Linked DNA regions of Mus musculus. The protein of the gene in region 2 interacts with the protein of the main gene of each other region in a pairwise test. Links are inferred from orthologs where the notes say so. Each region holds a gene or a part of one and is shown on either strand. Other genes may lie near its edges. The genes, in order: Ppp1r18, Vps52 and Usp2.

Region 1 (7,591 bases), about 1.9 Mb from region 2:
TGGGCTTCTTAGGAATGCATAACCCGAATTAGGGGCGGGCAGAGAGGGAAGTGACTCACTAGATCCTCTCATCAGCTATATAAGGTCACCAGGGGGCCGGGGAAGGAGGGGAAGGTCTCCAGCCAGAGAGGATGCTGGGCAAAAGCACCAGCTACAGCACCCCCCCCCCCCAAAGGACTGGGGTGGTGTCTGTCATGATGGCAGGTTTGATAGAAGTAGCCAGAAAAGGAACTACTTAGGGAAGGTGAGGGATGGTGGTAAGGGTTGGAATAGAGCCAGCGCAAGGCACAGTAATCCTTGCTGAGGCTGCACAGACAGAGAACTGAGCGGTGAGGATGGAGACTCAGAGAGGAAGAGGTAAATGGTCAGGTCTAGGGAACTGTGCAGCCTCTTCCCCACCCCCACCCCCACCCCAGTGTAGCTGCTTCCTGATTCTCTCACCACATCCTGAGTAGTTCTTTCGGGGCCTGGGCCCAGTGTTCCCACTCAGTGCTACCAGCCTTCCGGGCCCCCACCCCAGGCTTCCTGTTTGGAAGGTCTGCTTCCGCCCCTCCTACTGGATGACCTAGGTACGGTCACCAGCACAGGTCCTGCTCTGTACTAGGCTCCTTGGCTTCCCCCAGATGGTTCCTAGGTAGGAGCCACAAAGCCTTGTGTCTCCCTCTGCTCAGTCTCCAAAGCCACAGCCAGCCTCAGTAGGAAGTGACTTTTCAGAACACCTCACCCTAAGAGAATTTCCTGTCCTCTGTCCTTTCTAGCTGCCCAGCCCTGAGAAGAGAGAGCCAATAACCCAGACAGAGGCAGGGGAAGAAAAGTCACGTTCAAGAATAGGATAATGAAAATGGACACTTTGTACATGAATTAAAAACAACAAAAAGATGAACTGGGAGGAACCAAGTGACTCATGAGCTTAGCCCTGATCTTTGGTCCTCATGGTGGCCTATTGACACTGAACACACACACAAACACATGAAAGAAGGGTGAGACAGGCTTGCCAGGCCCTGGGAAGATTTGTGTTGTGTGGAGGGCCTTCTGGTCTGAGGCGTCTGACTGTAGCACTGTCTCTCCTCAGAGATTTTTTGACTTAGGAAAACTATTGGTACATATCAGGAAGGTGCTGGGCCGGAGCCAAAGGGAATAGTTACCCTATCCAGTGCTTCCTTGCATGTCTGCATTTCAGCCTAACCTCTGACCCTCTGCTGGCCTCAGCCCCACCCCACCCCACCCCGCCCCCAACTCTCACAGTGCCTGAACCAGTCGCAGCTCTGCAGCTCTCAGCTCAGCGCAAAAGAACTTCTCTCTGTTTCTACCCCAGGGGAGGGAGAGGCCAGGGTAGCAGGAACAGAGGGGGAAAAAACCCCCGAGGCTGAGACAGTTCTGTGGGGGGAGGGGAAGCCCAGGGAGGAAAGATGGGGGAAGGGACTGGGATATTTTGGAAGAGAAGGCTTTTCTTGTCCCTAGAGAGAAGGAAGCACTGTCTAACATTTGCCCAGTTTGGGGGGAGGGGTAGGCAACCCTGAAGTCACCCACTTCAAATGGCCTCTTCTTGCCAGGAGTGGGGGCCGACTTGGGGTCTAAACTCCTTCTTCCTTCAGCCAGCTCTGTTCCATCACCCCAACCCACCCCCCACCTCTGTTCTGGAATGTCCTCCATTAGCTTTGACCCCCTCCTCCTTCTGGGGCTGAGACCTTCATTCCAACTTCCCTGAACTTCTCCGTCAACCTTCTCTGTCCCCCTGGGTTATTTTCACACGCCTTCACAGGTACGTTATCTTTTCTCTCTTACCAGAGGGTTAACTGGGTCAAAAGCCCAGAGGAAGAAAAGGAGAGGGGACCGAGAGAGTGGGGAAAGAAGAAACAGGCAGGGCACACCCGAAAACGACACACCCCAACACAGCAGTTGAGTGCAGAACAGAATCCTTGGGGCTCCAAAATGAATGGCAAAGGAAGGCTACCCAGAGGAAGGGTGTGTGCAGGGGGAGGAAGGGAGTCGGCAGGAATAAAAAGAATAGAAGACAAGAACACACACATATAAAAAAGCCATCCAGTCAGAACTAGAAAGAGACTTCTACCCAGTCAGGCATGGTAGCTCTCTTACCTGTTTGTGATGTCTTTCAGGGGACCCCTTGACAAGGCAGCTGCGGCTGAGACGGAGGTAGCCCCCCAGCACCAAGATCTCCTCTGCAGTTGGGTACCGCTTCTTCCCAGATCCAGACCCTGCAGCATCAGCTGTAGCAGGGTTGACTGGAGGGGCTGGGCTGGCAGGGGGCGCACACCTCCGTGGGTTGACAGTGAAGGTGTGTCCACTGCGGCGGGGGGCCCCCACCCCCGGTCCTGGTTTCACCCCATAGAACAGACGGCTCATGAGGGGATCCCCAGAGGGTTGGGGGGCAGTTGGGGCCGAGGGTGGGGGAGACAGAGGGGCTGGTGTTGGGGGCCGGGGTTCTGCCGCTTCCTCTTCCTGCTGTCTGGAGCCTTCCGTCCCAGAGTGCTCTGGTGGGAGGGGGGAGGGCCCAGAGCAGAGGTTCTGCTGGGCTCTCAGAGGCCTGCTCTGAGCCTCCGCCTCCTCCTTCTCAGCCTCCTCTTCAGCCTCCATACCAGAAGGTCCTGGGTGCTTCTCTGAAGATGCTGGAGGATCTGGCTTCTGAGTTTGTGTATCTATGTCCCAGGTCGTCCGTTCTCGAGCCTTCCCAGAGTTTAGGGTCCATTTCCAGCTTTCAGTGGGTCTCTGCTCAGCAGTCTCCACTTCGCTCGAGGTGATGTCTTGAACCTCCTTTGTCACCGGAACAATCCCTGAACTCAATTTCTCTTCCTCTCTCCCACACCCTTCCAAGTAGTCTTTCCTCTCTTCACCGGACTTCAGCCTCCACTCTGTGGCCTCCAGCTGTATCAAGCTCTGTTTCTGGGGTTCTCTTGAGTCAAGATTCCATTTATGGACATCTGTCGGGCTGGCCTTCTGGTCACCAGGCTCCCCAGGGCTCAGAATGCTTTCCAACACCTCCTTTCTCTTGGGACTGTCATCTCCAGAACCCGCTAATCTCAGACTCTCCTCTGGAGTTTCTCCAGGGCTCAGCCTCCATTTCTGAGCCTCTGCTGGTCTGGAACTCAGGTCTCTGGCCTCTGCTGGGCTCTGCCTCCAGTCTCGAAGAGACCTCGAACTTGACTCTTGGGCTCCCCCTATCACCAGCCTCCTATCTCTGGACTCCCGGGGACTTAGCCTCTCTTCTCTGGACTCTCTTCCCTTAGGACTCTGATCTCTTAAATTACCAGGACTTGATCTCCTTTCTAGAACCTCCAGAGGCCCAGCCTTCCTATCACCAAGCACCTCGTTTCTCTGCTGCTGCTGCTGTTGCTGCTGCCGCTGTCGCTCCTGTTGGATGAATCGATTCTGATGTACTGGTCCAATAGCCTCCAAAAGGACAGCAGATTCATCTGGGTCTGGAGGTCCAGCCTCAGCATTCCCAGGCACAGGGCTCCCCTCTCCAGGAGGCAGGCCCAACTTGGCTCTGCGTCGTTCCAGGATTCCCCTCTTCCAGGCTGGCATCTGGGACAAGCGATCCCGTTCTGCTTTCTCGCGGCCACGAACCGCTGCCTCCTCCTGCCTCCGCCGGGCTAGCAACTGTAGCTTCCAATCTGGGATAGCGGTCATGGTCACTGGAAGTGAAGGAGAGAGTATTGGGGGACAGGAACAGGAAGGGTAAGCTTCAGAGGAGCCCGGAGACTGAGAATGGGGGTTGGGGGAGGAAGTGATGCGGGAAGGGACGAAGAAGGGCAGGAGGGGACAGTGGAATTAAGAATGAAGATAGAGGAAGGCCGTGAAAGGAAGGACAGCAAAAGAGTCAGGAACTGAAAAACTGAAGAGAAAAGCTGGGTGCCAAGTTGGGGGTGGGGATAGTGGGAGAGGAAGAGTCGAGATTCCGGGCAGAGGCAGAGCTAGATTGGGGTTTGTGGGCACCAGACCGTCCCTAAGATATAAGAAAGGGGAGAGAGGAAAAGCAGGAGAGAGAGAGGAGCCGGAGGAGCCGGGGCTGAGAAGTGAGCGGATTCAGTCAAGACTGCCTCCCCCGGTACGCAGGGGGAGATAAACGGGAAGAACAGGGAACCAGACGGCGAAGGGCGAGGAGATCGGGCAGGAGGTGAGGAGGTGAGGACAGATGTAGAGGGCAGAGGTCCAGGGTAGAAGGGGAGACCGGGAAACAGGCAAGGGCGCCGGCGCCTCTTCGCACGGGGCCCCCGCAGCTCCCGGCTGCCTTCCCGGCTGCGCTCGGCCCCGCCCCTCAGTCCGGCCCCTACCCCACTGTCTTTCCCGCCCCCGAGGCGGGTCAGGGGAAATACCCTCCTTGGGGACTTTTGGTACCCGAGCAAGTGTGCAGCCCCGTACATTCCCAGAACCCTGGCGTCCAGCCGCGTTCAGTCCCTACAATCTCGCCGGCCTCCCCACCGGATACGCTCCAGAACTCGGGCGCGACGAGGACCCACATCACGCCTCTGCTGTCTTCCCCAACCAGGGAGCCGGCTCTCAGGGGACCTTGACCCAAAGGGTTGTGCACCAGAGGGAACTGAAGGGACAATCTATGCAAAAGGGGAGACACTCCAGGGAAGATCTGGAGCCAGGAGGCACTTCTCTTAAAGTGGGAGCCACATAGTCAACTTACACGCCTCGGGGTCCCTAGGAGGAGGTGCAGTGGAGTCAGGCGTCGGGAGAGAGGAAGAGGAGGAGAGAGGCGAAGGGAGATCCGGAGGGAGGGAGGGAAACAGAGGAGGAGGGAAGAGGGAGCCTAAGAGGAGGGACGGAGACGCAGACTGGGGGCCAGGCGGGGGCGGCGACCGCTTTGTCTACGGACAATGGGGCGAGGGAAGGGGGCGCAGGGAGGAGCCCGGCGAAGGGCGGGGCTTCGCTGCCCTCCTTCCCGCGTGGACTCTGGTGGGACTTCTCTCTTGCTGTGGCTATCCCCTCGCTCTCCGTTGTCTGTCTCCAGAGACCTTCACCCGCTTCCTTCCTTGCAGCCCCGAAGAAGCGGGGTGTCCAGACCCACTTCTCCAGCTGGCCGACCCGGGGCGGCGGCCCGTGACTCAGGCCCCCTGAGGGACATGGGGAGGAAGCGGCAGCTGCTTGGAGTCGGACCCGCCCTTCCCATCTCTCGCCGCTCCTCCCCACGCTTTTTCTTTCCCTAGCCAGTCTTTGTTACCGTGGCAGAGAAGGCGGCTGCCAGGCCCTGGGGTCTGAGGCAAAATGGCTTTGGGAGTTCGCTCTCCTCCCAGAGAGTTATTCTGTCTCCCGTGGGTTCCCTGATTTATACGCGGAGAAACTAATATTTGGAGGGAACAGGACTGGACGACTGAGAGATGGGGCGGGTCCATGGGGTGTGGCCCCAGCCTTGCGATCGTTTTAGAGTGCTCGGCTATCACCGCAAAAACTAGGTCTCATCTTCCTTCCCACAATTGGTTCTGCGGCTTGAGAGTCATGGACAGACAAGTGGATATCATATGTATAAAATTTTATTTTTTCTGCAGCGCATATCCTTTGGGAGAGCAGGGAGCCCTGAGTCAACCCGAGTTAAAATCGGGAGACGTCGCCTTAGGAGACCACACAGAGCTGTAGGGAAAGACCTAAGGAGAAACTAAGGCAGGAGTGGGGAGGAAGCACAGCCGCGGTACAAAAGAGCCACTACTTATAAACTTTCAGATAGGCCCTGACATAGCTCCCTGAGGTGGAAACATGGAAGGGAATCCCTGAGGTGCAGAGCCAATAACAGTGCCAGGGGAGTGAGTGCTCCCCAGTGTGAGCTGAGGTGCTCCCCTGTGTGAACTGACCCAGTGTGTGTGGAGGTCATGCTCTAAGAGAAAAGGAGACTCATGAGTTTTGTAACCATTCTTGGCTGGTGAGAGGCGGATCTTGAAGACCAGTGGAGGAAACTTTGAATAAGAATTCAGGATCAAGATTCAGGAACTGAGTTCTCCAGCAGGAGAGGGCACAGCCCCTTCAGGGCATGACTTCCAACCTCCTCCGCGGTCTGAAGCAAACTCCGTCTGGATACTAAGGGATTTGATTTTGAGGTGGGAAGTAAATTCAGGGCTTAGAACTAGCTCCTCACTCTGCTTCCCCATCCTGAGGTCTGGAGAGAAGGTGGAGTTTTCTTTGTAGCTGAGACCGAAGGTAGCGGAGATCTTGCTGGTCAAGCCCATGAGCCAAGCCCAGGTAGAGGGTAAAGAGAAGAGCCAGGAGGAGCCGATCGGTGCCCAAGGTGGGGACCACCCACAGCACAGTCAGCAGCTCCACACACACTGGGTGTCGAAGGTGGGAAAAGAGTCTCAGAGCCCGAGGAGACTTCAGGGACAGGGGCTCGCCCAGTCCCAGCACATGGTAATAAACCTGGAAGAGAGAACATCACGGAACTCAAAGTCAAGCCCTCTATCTCAGTTGCCTCCGTCCTCTTCCCAGCATCCACCCTCAAAGCCCAGGAGACCTACAGTCACTCTCCTTTAAGGCAAGCTGGAGGAAAACAGAGGCACTACAAAGCCGAGAGAAGTCAGAAGAGTTCAGGAGGGAGAGACTTGCAGACGCAGATCTCACGTAGGGGTGTGGGATTCTCACCTGCTTGAGGCCCATCAGTTCAGCGTAGTCAAAGACCAGAAGGATGCTAAAGATGAGGAGCCAGGAAACAACGTGGAGCACAAAGCAGAGGAGAGGTACCCAGGTGGCCCATGGTTCAGCCCGAGCCTCCCATAACACTGGGCCTCTGGGTGTAGTCTCCCAGTACCGCATCACCAACTGGGGAAAGATGAGAGACTGGGCACACCAGTGGTCTCCCTTGCCCCACAATAACCTACGAGGACTCTTTCCGACAGGTATAAACAGTAAATATTTACCATGTGGAGGGTTCTGGGAGGGGTACCAAGGACATGAAGATGGCCCATCCCTACACAGGATTTTTTGGAGACTGGACGGGATGGGGGCTGGTGGATAATAATCACTCAACTAGCCTATGCCAAACATCCATGAGAATACCAACTGGAAGACAAGTGCTATTGTGAGGCCTAGGGAGGTTGTAGGATAAGAACCCGGGAGGAATTCAGAGCTGAAGCAATAAAACATGAACAATGTTGCAAAGGTGAGACTCTCTTAGTGTGCTGGGGAATGTCAAATATATACAGCTTTGCTGATAGGAGAATATGCCCAGGAGGGATGGAGGCTGAGCTCTGCATGTTCTTTCGGTTCCACCAGTCTCCCTTGGCCAGGCCTCATACCTGCAAGGCCAGGGCTGTGCACGCCACATAGAGCGACCTCTGAAGGACGCCAAAGTACCGGGATGTCCACGCCTTCACTGCCTCAGTCGCCATAAGGCTGTGCTGTACCACAAACAGTAGCAGCAGACATAGATCCCAAGCCAAGGAGGCAAGAATGCTCCGGTCCTGCAGGGCAGCCAACCACCCGTGGCGGGCATCTGAGGGAGTTGGGAAGGAAAGGGACAAAAGGCCAGTTAAGATGGCTAGGACATTCCCCTAACCACATCTTTGGAAGCTCTATGTCAAGCCCCTGATGCTTTCAAGATCTTGTCAAGGCCATTCCCAGTTCACTCTGCTGTTCCTTC
Region 2 (7,491 bases):
CATGCACAAACACACAAACATACAGAGCTATAGTGCACACACACACATACACACAAGGCTATAGTGCACACATACACACATACACACAAGGCTATAGTGCATGCACACACACACACATACACATAGGGCTATAGTACATGCACACACACACATATACACAGGGCTACAGTGCATGCACACACACACACATACACACAGGGCTATAGTGCATGCACACACACACATACACACAGGGCTATAGTGCATGCACACACACACATACACACAGGGCTACAGTGCATGCACACACACACACATACACACAGGGCTATAGTGCATGCACCCACACACACATACACACAGAGCTATAGTGCACACACACACATACACACAGGGCTATAGTGCATGCACACACACACATACACACAGGGCTATAATACATGCACACACACACAAACATACACACAGAGGTATAGTGCACACACACACATACACACAGGGCTATAGTGCATGCACACACACACATACACACAGGGCTATAGTGCACATACACTCAGGGCTATAGTGCACACACACACATACACACAAGGCTATAGTGCACACACACATATACACAGGGCTATAGTACACACACACACACACACATATACAGGGCTATAGTGCGCACACATACACACAGGGCTATAGTGGATGCACACACATACACAAAAGGCTATAGTGCACACACACATACACACAGGGCTATAGTGCATGCACACACATACACACAGGGCTATAGTGCACACACACACACATACACACAGGGCTATAGTACATGCACACACATGCATACATACATGTAGCTATAGTACACACACATGCATACATAAATAGGTATAGTTCTATGTTGCTTCTAAACTATTAGTACCTTGAAAAAGTTAAATGAAATAGACTAGCAACAAGGCAGTGGGTTGTACTCATGACTGCACACAGAGGTCAGTCCAACAGCATCGCAGTCTTCCTGCTGCACCCAGGCCCTACCTGTGTCCGAGCATTGAGCAGCTGCTGGAAACTTTCCACCTCTTTGCTGTCATCAGCAGCCCGCTCCTAAGGAAGACAAGAGGAGTCAGGAGCTTGGGAACCTTCACTGTTGCCATCACTTCCCCTTCTTTCCATGATGTGGACACTGCCAGCATCCAGGGGTAAAGCGCTGAGCTCAGGCAGAGCTCACAAGCTGTAGGGACCCCCGTGGGAGGAGCAGCATTACCATCAGCACCCCGAGCATCATGTCATAGTTGTTGATCAGAAACACAAGCTGCTCCTTCCTGGAGGAGAACTCTGCAGCCACTCGGAGGACAAAATTCTCCACCTCCACCTGCACAAGCCAAATGAAAGCAGCAGGTTAGAAAGCAAGGACACAGGTCCCGTCCCTCTGCTGGCAAATATGTCCTGCCTAGCTATACCTGGAGCTGTCCCAGGAGCTGCAGCGTGCGTTCATTGGGGATCGTCTGGTTGATGCTGACAAGTGCAGAGGAGAACTCAGCATAGCGGCGTGTGATCTGGGAGCAAGAAGGGAAGGCTCACACCTGCCTGACTGGGAGATACAACCCTCAGATACCCCTGCAAGTTCTGTCACCAGTCAGAACAGATGTTGTCTGCCTAAGTTGACTCCTTCGGCAGTACCCACCCACCACTCAGTGTGACCACAGACCCCCTTATTAACCTTGCTCGCCCTTACATAGTGGGGCCGAGTGTCCAGTCCCCCAAGGCGCTGGGGGTCAGTGCTGCGGACACTCTGGACATTCATCTCCAGGATCAGCTCAAACCGAGGCCACAGCAAGGCAAGCACCTGCTCCCAGTACCTGCAGGCTTAATCAGAATCAAAGGTCAGCTGGCTGGGGGTGCAGTCTGCCCAGGGGAGTACAGCACGCTTCAGGGTGACAGTGAGTGGGTGTGCCTGATGCCAATGCTGCCCCTGGGACACATGAATGGGAATAAGGGTGAAGGGCATCAGGTGAGGGCCCAGAGTCAGGATGGAACTGTTTTCGTAACATAAGAAGCTGACCACATCCAGACACCAAGGACCAGAGCTCAGTGACCTGTCCAGGGCAGGGACGTCCCTCTTCGCTGCAATGTTGCGGAACCGGAGAACAATGTGGATACAGAGAAAAACAGCAATGGCATCGTAGCAGTCAGCCAGGTAGGACTCCAGGTGTTTCTGTGGCAGACAAATGAATGTTAGCTTGTTGTTCGAGTGGCTGTAGGCAGACAGATGTACATTTCTTTGGGGACAAGGCACAGACCAGGGAGACCAGCTTCTTCCCTGTCCACAGGTACCACAAGCGGCCTGACCTGCTCACAGCCACACTTATGTAAGTTCCCCACAGCAGAAGCTGGGGCTGAGCAGAAGCTGGGGCTGAGCTTGGGATGGGGGCTCCAGGGCCAAGGCTTAGAGAACACTCATTCCTCAGGAGTTGCTGTCTGCCTGTGGACAGGCTCAGAATTTGGGAGCTCACCAGCGTCATGGAGAGCGTGCGGCCCATGACGGCGTGGAACAGGTCATGTGCAGCCGGGCCAGACACGATGAAAAATTCACAGATGAAAAGATATTCACGGCAAGAATTGTCGAGGAGGGCATAGTGCTGGCTGCGGAAGAGCGCTTCGAATGGATACTACCGAGACAGAGAGAGACACGATGGGTCTCTCACTAACCCGTGGATGTGGAGACTCAGCACAGCTTAGTAATCAGAGCTCACAAGATCACACACCCTCCTCCAGGCAGGGAGGAGCACCCTGAACAGGCACTGAAGATGGGGCACAGGTCACAAGAAAAGCCCTCCCCACTGACTTCTACCCCCACATTCACTTCAACTGTTGCCTCCCAACAGTCACGCCCCAGCCAGTCTCCCTCTGCCCGCCTCTGAGTCCATGGCTCCTAACTTCCCGCATCACAGCAGGCCAGGGACACCGGCCCCCCCCCACACACCAAACTAACACTCAGGGAACTGATCCTGGCCATGGAGGGGTTGCCTCACCATACCCTCTGCTCTCCACGTTGGGCAGTATGGGGCACTAGGATGGGGGCCTCCAGCTCGGCCGGTGAGATGACAGTACCACGAGTGCCAAGGGTAAAGATGGTGTTCCTGCTTCGGAGGGACGGCTTCGAGAAGAAGCGTGAACAGCTTTGGAGTCAGGGAAACCAATGAGACCAACTGCACCAGGCCCAACAAGCCAAGACCCGAGTCCCAGGAAACTAAATATGGCCCGGATAGCCCTTTCCAGAACCTGAGCCTTGCTTGGCCTGACACCCTTAATGGCTGTCAAGGTTTTACAAACCCTCAGAAATAAATGTGAAAATCTGTCAGAGCGGCGAGTGCTTCTTAGAGAAAAAGCTCTCGATTTCATGTCCTCAAAGGTTGAGAACCACAGAATGGGTAAGAAACACAGCCCCGGGCTGGAGAGATGGCTCAGGGATTAAGAGCACTGACTGCTCTTCCAGAGGTCCTGAGTTCAATTCCCAGCAACCACATGATGGCTCACAACCATCTGTAATGGGATCTAATGGCCTCTTCTGCTGTGTCTGAAGACAGCTACAGTGTACTCACATACATAAAGCAAATAAATCTTCTTAAAAAAAGAAAAGAAAAGAAATAAAGAAAGGAAGAAAAGCAAAGCAAAGCAACGAAACGAAACGAAACACAGCCTGCAGGCTGGAGCCAGATGTCCCCGCCATGGTCCCAGCCATGAGCCCAGCTCATGGGGCTCTCCTCTCCAGGATATCTTTCTTTGCTGTGTCTTCAACACCCATTAGGTCGTCTTTCTCAGCAACTTCCTCGTACTAGAGAAAATAACAGAGCTGAACCATCACTCTCCACCAGCAGCAGGTGAGGACTTCATCCCTCCCCCTCCTCCCCCTTCCCCTCCTCCTCCTCCCCATCCTCCTCCATGTCTCCAGCCTTGCTCACCTGCACTTTCATGAGCCGCCCCACATAGGATCGGTAGTAGGACAGGTAGATCTTGCTCAGCGTCTCTACGTACTCATCCCTGATCTCCTTGGCTGTAGCACGCTCATTACCCAGCAGGAACTGATAGAAAAACCTTGGAAGGACCAGGGCAAGTCAGACTCCCTGGATGCCCACGCTGCAGTGTTGAGAGGGCACAGGCCACCCCGCGCCCACCCCGCACCCACCTGTACTTCAGCAGGGCCGCCTGGGGGATCTGGTAGTTGGTCATGGGCTTTCTGAAGGAGTAGATCTTCTGGAGAATAAACTCCCGGATCTTCGTCACTGCCTAGGCGTGGGGAACAGACGGGCCATGAGGCGGGGTGGGCTTTCACTGTACGGCAGGAATGGGGTGAAGATAAAGCAAAGGGAACAAATACTTCGGTTGTGTTCTGGTTATGGAAACAGGGTCTCTCTGTGCAGCCCTTGCTGGCCTGGGACTCACAGAGGTCTGCCTGCCTCTGCCTCCTGAGTGCTGGGGTTAAAATCCTGCACCACCACACCCGGCCTTATTTTTCTGGGTTGTTTCATTTTGTAAATATGATTCTTACTTGCACAGGGACCATGCTAATCTTCTCTGTATTGTTCTAATTTTAGTGTCTATGCTGCCAAGGTGAACACTGCTTGGTTTTGAGGCAGGGTCTCATGTATCTGTACTGGCCCCAAACTCTCGTTTCTCCTTTCACCTCCCAAGTGCTAGGACAACAGACTTGTGCCATCATGCCAATGTATATGGCACTGGGGATGGAACCTGGGGCTGCATGCATGCTAAGCAACCGCTCTGCCAACTGAGCCACATCTCAACCTTCTTTAGATTTTCAGGGGATCTGGAGGGCCAACCACGCTCTGCACAGCGGGAAGCAGTGTGAAGCTCCTGGAAAGCTGATTCTGAGCAGACCACTCCCCACCTTGACCCGGAGCCGGTCCAGCACGCCTCTGACGTCAGCACAGGCAGCGGTGCCCATAGCCTCCTGCTCTCTCACCGCGGCTGCCTTGGCATCCAGCTCCTGTAGCTGCTCCAGGAACCTGGGCTCGGTCACTGGAGCTTCCAGAATTGCTCTGAGGAGCACGGGAGAATGGGTGTGGTTAGACGGGGTACCCCACAGCCCTGAGAGAGCCCCCTCACACCTCACATGTCATTTCTGCCTTTCTCTGTGGTCTCATGCCTTCAAGATAATATGTACAAAGTTTTCATCTCCTGAGCCACACTTCCTCATGTAGCCTTGGAGCACTCTTAACCTGTGTCCTATCCTATGGAGGGTAAAGCAGGGTTCGAAGTTCTTAATCCATCCATTACAAGATCTCACTCTATAGCCCAGGCTAGTCTACTTGCAGCAATCCTCCTGTCTCAGCCTCCCAAGCATATAATTACGGGCATGAGCCGGCACACCTGGTTTCTAGATGGTACCTGACAACCCCAGCCTAGAGACCTATGTTGTAAATTGTTTAGGTAACCCAGCCCAACCACCTGCTTTGGACATTACTACCTTTCAAACCAGTGACTCACGTGACCAGAGCAGAGGGCACCACCAGCCCATCCACAAGTTCCCCAAGTTTCCCCCGAACTGCCTGTCGGTTACGAAGTCGGATGTTCATGGCCCCCGACTGCTCCTGCAGGGTTCGGATCTCAGAGCTGATGGAGCTGAGATCGCTCTGAAAAGCTCCCAGCATCTGTTCCATGCGCTGTGGGGAGGGCAGGAAACATTGTGGGCATGACTCCGGGTTGTCGGGGAACAAGGACAGGTGTGTCAACCAAGTCTCTGTGCAAATCCCTGGTACCCAGCAACCCAGGAGGATGGGAGATCATCACTTGTCCAAGGGGGACAAAAAATACTGATAGAAGAAGAAGGAGAGGAGGAGGAGGAGGAGGAAGAGGAGGAAGAGGCAATTAAGTCAGATTTGGGGCAACAGGTGAGGGCCACCCACCTCCAGGACGGCGTCACAGGCCGTGATCTGATTGTGCAGAGACGCTATGTTTTCACTCTCTTGGATATCTGACCCACAAAAGTCAAGGGCTTCACACTGAACACAGAGCTCTGCCGATCTGCAGTACCTGCCCCCAGGTCCTCCCCAAAGTGACAGAAGCCTGAGAGAGAAGACATCCCCTTGAGGGCTACCTGCATCACAGGCCCCCAAGAGCCCATGCCAATAGCAGCCATCTTGGCCCTGTGCCTGTGAGGCTGGAGGATACAGTCCCGGATTGACTTCTGCTCAATCTGCTGCAGCTCCAGCTCCACCTGCTTTGAATAGTGTCGAAGATCCACACCCTGGGGGGAAGGACAACCAGTACAGACTCCGTGACTGGCTAGAGGGGAGCCACTAAGCTGAGGGGACCCCAAAAGGAAGGGAGGGTGGGGAGATCAACCCAGTGGAGAGCCTCACCGTTTTGAGAGCTTCCTTCACTAACTCATCCTCCAGGTTTGCCTGGATGTGAACTGGAAACAAGCTTATATTTAGTGTCCCCTGCCAGACCTCCCTCTGCCCACACTGGGCACACGCACACCACACCAATCTCCCCTTCCCTCCCAGCCCCCACCCTCTCCAGTTATAGGCACAGCTGCTTTGCCCGGTGGGACTTCCTGCTGTTTCTGCTCCTCATGGTCTACTCGACCACAGATGGAAAATATTAAAAGGGGATTTCCAAAGTGTGGCTTGTAAGATCTAAAATGTGTGGCATTCTGAGAAGCTAGAGAACCTCTCGCCTGGGCTTGGATCTGAAACATCTTTGCTCCGTTAATCTATGGTGTGTGCTGTGCCTGCCTCCCAGTCACTCAGTCTTAGCTGTCTGCGTATGTATGTTCAACCAGGCTGTATTCTTACTCAACAATAGTCCCAAAGGGGAAAAAGTGATGCTGCGATTTTATTATAGTGTATTGCTGTGACTATTCGACTCGTACTGTTCATTTCTTACTATTCCTAAATTAGAAGTTAAGCCTTCTCAACTCATGGATTAAACTTTATCTGTACATTAAGAAAAAAGCCAGCCGGGGGGTGGTGGTGCACGCCTTTAATCCCAGCACTTGGGAGGCAGAGGCAGGCGGATTTCTGAGTCCGAGGCCAGCCTGGTCTACAGAGTGAGTTCCAGGACAGCCAAAGCTACAGAGAAACCCTGTCTCGAAAAAAAACCAAAAAAATAAAAATAAATTAAAAATAAAAACACACACACATACAAAAGAAAGAAACCATAGAGGGTAATCTACTGGGGTCATGTAATATATTTCTAAAGAATAAAGGGGTCTACTTTGCTCCCACCCCATGTCAGCACTTACCATCCACTTCATCCAAGATGAATTCATCAGAGGTGATGTCCAACTCTCCAAGTTGTAGGGGTTCTTGGAGTCCAGAACCCCCCCCCTGAAGAGGGACAGGTTAATGAATGTGGGATACAGAAAGAGATGTTGGAAACAAAACATAATCGGGTATCCTTAATCCTCCAAGTGAGGTGGGGGGTGCTTTGGGGGGTGGGGGGTGCCGGAGTAAGTGGGTCAAAGATTCTGATGCGTTCAAATCTACAATCTTGGGCTACTGAGAA
Region 3 (7,491 bases), on a different chromosome or scaffold from region 2:
GTCCCAGCCGTTCCTGTGGCAACAGGGAGACTCAAAGCCATGTGAGTGCTGCCCTTCCTGTCCCTGTCTTGCGCAGCAAGGCCACAGGCAGATTCCCCAACCGAAGCTCCTGCCCATGGTGCATTCAGTAGCCTCCAGGGACAGCAGGACCAGGTAACGCCAAGAGAATCTAACGTAGTAAACTGTCTTCTCACCTTTGAGGCGCTGAGACTTTTCTCCGACAAAAGTAGGGCTTAGTGGAGGGGAGAGATGTGTGCAAAGTTTCAGCTCCAAAAAAGAAACCTTCTCCTACCCTGGGAGCTGTGAGGTAGACATCAGAGCTGGCAGTTTCCAGGGGCTGGGATCGAGCAACTGGTGGAACTATCTGGACAGGAGAGACTTGGCAGTTGCCTGCCAGATTGGAGCAGACAAGAGAGCAGGGATTGGGGAGTCCTCCTCAGGGTTCTCTGAACTAGAAGATGGGGCTCCAGGGTCAGGCCTTAAAAGTGCCAGTGCTGTCTGTCCCTGTCGCTGTATCTCGTTTGGCCTGGGCACTTGTGCGTCATCCTCTGGGCTGAGAGAGGTCACAGTCTTGAGGCAGTGCCCACAGAATACCAATTCCCTAGGAGCCTCAGTCTGGGAGAAGGGAGGGAGAGCTGGGGAGGAGGAGCCATGAGCTCATATGCTGAGGGTGGGGGCCAATCTGATTGGCTGCCGGGTGTCCCAGAGCCCAGCTCCCAAGGCCTGAAGTTTCTTTGACTTTGCATTATTGATGGAGTTCTCCAAAGTGAAAGAGAACAGGACAGGTCCCCTGCCCCCAGCCCTAGGCCTCTGTTTCCCACCCCCACCTCCCCGTGATTTCCCACTATCCGTACTTCAGACCCTCACACAGTTACCATCTCCCAGAGCAGACTGGAAGTTCCATGGGAGAAGGGGGCAGAGTGGACAAAAAGTGTCCACACAAGGTATTGGGATCCCCTGAGCCAGGCAAGGAAGACAGTCAGATGGACAGCCTTTCTGGTGCCAGCCGGGACTGAAAACTACTGGAGGTCTCTGGCACAGTTAAGGAACTCCGTTCTGTGGCCACCTCCTCACCTTCCACCTCTACCTCTCTCCAGAGCCTTCAGTGGCTTGAGTTTCTACAACCTTCTGCCAAGCTCTCAGCGTTTGGGGCTTGGCACACATCCTCCCTGCCCTGGTGAGCTGGGCTGCTGGCCTAGGTAAGCTGTGGGCTGCATGAGCCAGTGTCTGTTGAATGGCTAGATGTCTACCCACTACCCACTTAACTCACTGGGGGTGGCAGGGGGAAGCCTGGCGCCTGGGCTGAGGTCTAGCCGGCCAGGCCAGGGAATGGCCAGCCCTGCCATTATTATAGATTACAAAGGAGGAGCTGGGCGGCCTGGCTGGGCTGGCTAGGAGAGAAGATAATAGCCGGTCATTGTTAAGCGCTTTCCCGTGTTATTATCTCAGTCCTCACAACAACCCTGCGAGATAGGAATCCTGATGTTATTAGGCAACTTTACAGGGAGGAAATCGGGGCTCAAAGAGGTTCAACGGCTAGTGTAACTGCTCAACTGGTCTGTCTCAGAGAGAGTCAAAACCAGCCCTGGGGCCAGTGAGATGGCTCAGCAAGTAAAATCACTTGCCACCAAACCTAACCTAACCAACAGGCAAACCCCCAAACATGCATGGTGGAAAGATAGAGCTGACTCCTACCAGTTATCCTCTGACTTTCATGTCTGTGTCGTGTGTGTGTGTGTGTGTGTGTGTGTGTGTGTGTGTGTGTGGTGTTCACACACACATGCACACGCACACATGGAGGAGGAGAGAGATTTTTATTTTATTTTTTTAAGATTTATTTTATTTATGAGTACACTGTCATTGTCTTCAGACACACCAGAAGAGGGCATCAGATCCCATTACAGATGCTGTCAGCCACCATGTGGTTGCTGGGAATTGAACTCAGGACCTCTGGAAGAACAGTCAGTGCTCTTAACCGCTTAGCCATCTCTCCAGCCCGAGAGAGATTTTTTAAATCGTATGCTACTCTTGAGATTCCTGGATAGGTCTCCAGACCTCCACCCCACCCTGAGCCCCACCCCACCCCACCCCCACTTAAGAGTCCCTGAAGAAAGGAGCCTGGTCCTCTGTGCCCCTTTCTCCAAAGCACCTTCTCCCCTCTTGCCACATGGTGGAGGGGTTCTAGGAGTCTTCAGAGCTGCCCAACTCTGCTGAGGAATGGTAGAAGCAAGGCTGGTGGGAAAGGGTGCGGGGCCACGACCTGGGTTCCAATCCTGACTCTCCAGAGCAGGTGAACTTGGACAAGCAGGCATCATGCCCGTATCTGTACAATAGGTTAATCAATACATGGCCTTTAGGACTATCCAACCTCCACATTCAGGGATTAATCTACAAAACCCTGAAGTCTGGGAGTGTCTGCAGTCTACAGTACAGGATCTTGACTCTAGGGGGCGCCTCTTGCACAAGTCAAGTAACTCCAGGATCAGTTTGGCCCCTGCGTGGGTCCTGAAACCTCCTAGGAGGCCGTAGGTTCCTAAGCTCCACTGGGAAGACAAAGCCAAACTCCAGGAAGAGAATAGACAGGTTCTACCTCACCAGCGTTCCTGGTGTGGTCCCCTGTGTGACCAAGCAGGTACCTGTGTCCAAGGAAGAGTACCAAGGGAGGTCTGGAGACCAGGGTCCAGCCCTTCTGCTAGACATTCCCTCCCATCTCCCGCCATCACTTCCTTTCCTGAGACCCTCCTCTTCCTCACAGTCTTCCAGACATTTCCGGGGGGTGGAGGGAGCATTTTATACCTGAAGGTAGAACTGCTTGCCAAAGGCAGAGAAGCATTCATAACTCAAAGTGCTCATTGTCCCCCAGTCTATGCACTGAGGGTGGTAGGATCCCCCAGTCTCCAGCCCTTGCCAACTCTAAAAGTTCCTGCCGAGACTTACAAGAAGACCCACATGAGATTCAGCTGGAGTCTCTGATGTAGAGGGCTGGGGAAGTGGAGAGGCTGTGCCTTTTGCTGGTTGTTCTTGTGGGTACATGGGTACACCCACCCATATACATACCTGTTTGCATGTGTGTTTCTCTGGAGCTAGCCAGCCTATTATAGGCAGGCCCCAAGTGGTCCCTGTTGAGCCCTAAGGTCCTGGCCCAGCTGGCATAAAGAATGAGCACAGGATGGGCCTGGTGCTTCGCAGAGCCCTTGACAGCTGCTTTCCTTGTCTTTCAGCCCATGAGGCTCCCAGTACCCACTGAGTACCACCCTGAAGGATGTCCCAGCTCTCCTCCACCCTGAAGCGCTATACAGAATCGTCCCGCTACACAGATGCCCCCTATGCCAAACCGGGCTATGGCACCTACACCCCTTCTTCCTATGGGGCCAACCTGGCCGCCTCCTTCCTGGAGAAGGAAAAACTTGGTTTCAAGCCGGTCTCCCCCACCAGCTTCCTCCCACGGCCCCGCACCTACGGCCCCTCCTCCATTCTGGACTGTGACAGGGGCCGCCCCCTGCTGAGATCTGACATCATTGGGAGTAGTAAGCGGTCAGAGAGCCAGACCCGTGGCAATGAAAGGCCCTCGGGCAGTGGACTCAACGGAGGCAGTGGATTTTCTTATGGAGTTTCCAGCAACTCCCTCAGCTACCTGCCCATGAATGCCAGAGACCAGGGGGTGACCCTGAGCCAGAAGAAATCGAACAGCCAATCAGACCTGGCCCGGGATTTCTCCAGCCTCCGGACTTCAGATGGCTACCGGACTTCAGATGGCTACCGGACCTCAGAGGGCTTTAGGATAGACCCTGGAAACCTGGGTCGCAGCCCCATGCTGGCCCGCACGCGTAAGGAGCTCTGTGCCCTGCAGGGCCTCTACCAAGCAGCCAGCCGTTCTGAGTACCTAACAGACTATCTGGAGAACTATGGTCGAAAGGGCAGTGCACCACAGGTGCTCACGCAAGCCCCTCCTCCCTCCCGAGTCCCTGAAGTCCTCAGTCCCACCTACCGACCAAGTGGCCGTTACACACTGTGGGAGAAGAGCAAGGGCCAGGCCTCTGGGCCCAGCCGCTCCAGTTCTCCAGGGCGAGACACCATGGTGAGTTTACTCTTGGGGATCCAGTGAGGGACTGGGGAGACAGCCCCGTGTTACAAAGAGCCAGGCTAGGAACAGAACTCCCAACCTGACTGACGATTGGTGGCGGACAAGCAGCAGAGATCATCTTCCACGATGATCAAAGCATGACTTGGTGGCTCCATGGCTCAGAGCCATGGGGAAGGGGCTGGCCCGTGCTTCAGAGACCTACACACGTGGGAATGATCCAAAGGTGCTCTAGGAGGTTCAGCCCCCCCTGTCTGCTGTTCTTCTCATTCTCTGATCTCCCATCCAAAATGTCAGGGTCTTCCCCTGTGGGCTCTGGTCCATCCAGGGCTGGATGCCACAGTAGAAGTGTGATCACCATGTTACCTGTGGAGAGAGAGCCATCCTCCCACCCCGATCCCTGCTCTGGATGGTTCTCTTCCTGTCCAGGCATGAGATATTAGGAGTAGCAGGACTCTTCCCCTGATGCCGGCAGCTTAAGTTCAGGGTATCTGGAGAATAGGTTTGTATCTTTGGAGAAAATAGTGTAGAGTCTTTTGTCCAGAGATAGAGATGATCTAATACCTCAGTGCTCCAGCTTGCCTGGGCTGGAATGAGGGGAGAGGCTCTGTTGGAGATTAACCAAGGGCTGGCATGGTCTCCCTCACATCTAATCCCTGAACACGCCTCCCTGGGGCAGTGACTCCTCTCCTCTCCTGTAGTTATCCGTGTGTCCAATAGGTGGCGAGCTCTTGGAGATTTAAAGTGATTGTATCTCTACTCCTTCCCCTGTGCCTCTGGCAACTCGGGGCTCAGCTGACCTGCTGATTGCATGGATGGATGGATGGGTGATTAGACTGGGGTGGGGGTGGGGTGGTGGATTGATGGGCAGAAGAACACATAGGTAGACAAGCGTGTGGGTAAGAGGATTGGATGCTGTGTTCTCTGTTTCCTTATGTACCCCTCCTTATAGAGCATATGTCTTTTGTAAAGGCAAGCAAGCTATGCCATAGCATGAAATAGTGCTTTAGAGAGCTTGTTCAGGACTAGGGATCATAGCTGGGTCATAGGCTAAAGTGTGTCATGACAAAGGGCCTTGGGACAACTTTGATAGTATCACTTGAACTGTTTTGGGCCACCTGGGAAGTACCATGGAAGATACAAAAGCTGTGTCTCACAGGACATTCAGACTCTAGCCATCAGGGTTGGCTACAGGCACAGGACGCTGTAGGGTCCATTCTCGACACGTCCAGAGTTGTTCATAGAGGTGATGGGCAATGAAAAGGCTCCTCTCAGTGGAGGGAGCCTCTGCCGGCTCTTCCTTTGCTCGGAAGAAAGGAAGTCTTCTTGTACACGCATGCTTCTCTGTGGGGTCCGCAGGCATTCGGTGGCAGTAGAATCACCTATGGGCTTAACAGTCCCCCAGACCCTCTGGAGCAAACGCTCTCAGGGCAGTGCCTTAAGATCTGCCTGTTACAGGCTTTTCAGGTTGTCTGGGCCAAAGGCTGCAATACACTCCAGACTCCCAGCAGCTGCTGTTATCTGTCATCTTCCTCACAGCCAGCTACTTACTGCTCTTCCTGAAGTCTGCTGTCCCCTTTCCCTTCATTTCTCCTGGGGACACCTGGCCCTACCCCAGCCCAGGGCCGGAGAGAGTTGTTTTCAGAAAGGATCTCAACGAGGTAGCAAATACCCTGAGCAAACTCAGTCGCCAGAACCTGCATCCCTCTGGCCTAGAAGCAAGGCACAGAACTGTTAGGTGGTCAGGAGTGCCCTAAAGCCAAGCTAGCATTTCATCCTGAGCTCTGCTCAGTACAGTACCACCAACCAGGAGAGACCTCTACGGTCTCACTGCCCCGAGACCATCACTTCACCTTGGCCCTCTTATGCTCGCTTCCAGGGGTTGATTGTATCCTAAGGAAGTGAGAGCAACTTTTTGGGTGCCTTGAAATCTGCCCCATCACAAGCTTCTCCATAAGTTCTGTTCTCCCAGGATGGCTTCTTTAAAAAAAAAAGTGTGGCTTCTTCTCACAGTGCTGTTTTCTAGCTCTGAACTCTGTACCATGCACACCTCTGGGGAACTGAGAACTCTGTGCCATTCACCTGGCTTTCTCGGGCAGTTTCCTTAACTCCTAAGTCTGTTTGCTCTTCTGTAAAATGAAAGCACTCATAGTTTCTACTTCATAAATTACTGTGAAAGAGCCTGACACATAGTAGGGACTCAGTAAAGGTCGGTCATCTTTGCTCCTGGCTTTAGGAGACGAGAGAGGTGCAGGCCAGCCTCTGCCTTGAGTTCACTTCAGGAAATCCATGCCTACTTGGTTACACCAGGAGGCAGGCCTGGGTGTGTGTGTCTTCCGAGGTAGGGAAGGGAGAGGTCACCTGAGGCCGAGACAGACTGCCCGTGACCTCTGAGAGGCACAGTCTTACCTTTTAACCTTGGATACCTATCAGCTCGGACGGATTTCCTCCTCTATAAAGTGAACGATGGCACCTGCCCTGCCCTCCTCACAGGACTGCCACAAGGCTCAAACCAAGTAATGAAGGTGGAGGCATCTCCAGCCAATAAGACAGTAACGGCCAACCTGAGCTTGGAGCTTCACAGGCTCCATTGAGCATGTGTAATGGAGGCACCACCGGCATGAAGTCGGTGAAGGTGCAACTCGGCCCTGGGGCTCTGAGGGTCAACCCCCTGAGGCCCCACTTTCCCTGAAAATGCAGGGCGATGAGCCAGGAGCCACCAAGGTGTTTTGCTCTTCTAGGGAGGATTTGCAAGCCAGCCCAGGTGGCTCAGCCCTGCAGAGCGCCTAGAGCCAGAGAGCCAGAGAGCACCAACCCGTCAGTTCCCCCTCGCCCCACCTCTTCTGTTCCTGGGGCCTATGGAAGGACAAGCTGTTCCCACTGAGCACTGCCAGGCCTGTGCTTTAACCCTACAATCCCTCCTAATCCTCCTATGATCCACCCCCCCAGCTGCTCTGTGGCCAGCCCTGGCACGATGCCTGCTGGCCTCAGGCCGCGCACTTGCCCCTCCCAGGCCTCACCTCCTCTCCCCAAGAAGAGCCACGGGTTGGCCCAGGGCCCTTCCAAGCATAGTCAGCAGGCTAGGAACCTGCCTCTTCCACACAGAGGCAGGGACTGAGTCGTGTCCCCCCTTCTCCCCCCCTCCCCCCCCCCCACGTCCGACCTAGGCTGTTCCCTGGCGTTCGCACACACAATCTTATGTGCCCCTTCCTCTCTGCTCGGGGAACTGCTTCTGAGTGATGGAATCTGAGTCTCTGGGTCCTGTCTGTCACTGGGGTTGCTGACTCATGTTCTGAAGCCTTGGGTTCCAGCTGTTCAGTGACAGGGAGATTATATAAAGCCAGGGTCACGTGATCCTCCTCTCGGGTGGGACTCTGGACTTGAACAAGTGGAGGATGGCAGAGACTGCC

The links.
Region 1: the proteins of Vps52 (region 2) and Ppp1r18 interact in binary tests that used the Homo sapiens proteins (3 or more experiments, as listed by UniProt). The two-hybrid records come from large-scale screens. The link is inferred for Mus musculus from reciprocal best matches to the Homo sapiens genes VPS52 and PPP1R18.
Region 3: the proteins of Vps52 (region 2) and Usp2 interact in binary tests that used the Homo sapiens proteins (3 or more experiments, as listed by UniProt). The two-hybrid records come from large-scale screens. The link is inferred for Mus musculus from reciprocal best matches to the Homo sapiens genes VPS52 and USP2.

Annotation. Positions count from the first base shown.
Region 1 is NC_000083.6:35,863,292-35,870,882, reverse strand, and holds the start of Ppp1r18 (phostensin), read right to left. Parts: upstream 4,269-7,591; 5' UTR 3,654-4,268; coding exon of another isoform or gene 3,649-3,653; coding exon 2,098-3,648; intron 1-2,097. Other genes in the region: Nrm (nurim), read right to left, coding at 6,091-6,372, 6,595-6,771, 7,248-7,444.
Region 2 is NC_000083.6:33,956,752-33,964,242, reverse strand, and holds part of Vps52 (vacuolar protein sorting-associated protein 52 homolog), read right to left. Parts: intron 7,314-7,491; coding exon 7,229-7,313; intron 6,395-7,228; coding exon 6,342-6,394; intron 6,227-6,341; coding exon 6,151-6,226; intron 5,954-6,150; coding exon 5,886-5,953; intron 5,643-5,885; coding exon 5,467-5,642; intron 5,019-5,466; coding exon 4,868-5,018; intron 4,581-4,867; exon of another isoform or gene 4,471-4,580; intron 4,294-4,470; exon of another isoform or gene 4,249-4,293; coding exon 4,148-4,248; intron 4,057-4,147; coding exon 3,924-4,056; intron 3,797-3,923; coding exon 3,739-3,796; intron 3,133-3,738; coding exon 2,999-3,132; intron 2,631-2,998; coding exon 2,475-2,630; intron 2,177-2,474; coding exon 2,058-2,176; intron 1,828-2,057; exon of another isoform or gene 1,821-1,827; coding exon 1,697-1,820; coding exon of another isoform or gene 1,682-1,696; intron 1,518-1,681; coding exon 1,422-1,517; intron 1,334-1,421; coding exon 1,226-1,333; intron 1,066-1,225; coding exon 1,000-1,065; intron 1-999. UniProt on the Homo sapiens protein: Acts as a component of the GARP complex that is involved in retrograde transport from early and late endosomes to the trans-Golgi network (TGN).
Region 3 is NC_000075.6:44,072,145-44,079,635, forward strand, and holds part of Usp2 (ubiquitin carboxyl-terminal hydrolase 2), read left to right. Parts: exon of another isoform or gene 1-153; intron 154-1,097; exon of another isoform or gene 1,098-1,199; intron 1,200-3,221; 5' UTR 3,222-3,262; coding exon 3,263-4,078; intron 4,079-6,822; coding exon of another isoform or gene 6,823-7,017; exon of another isoform or gene 7,018-7,491. UniProt on the Homo sapiens protein: Hydrolase that deubiquitinates polyubiquitinated target proteins such as MDM2, MDM4 and CCND1. Isoform 1 and isoform 4 possess both ubiquitin-specific peptidase and isopeptidase activities.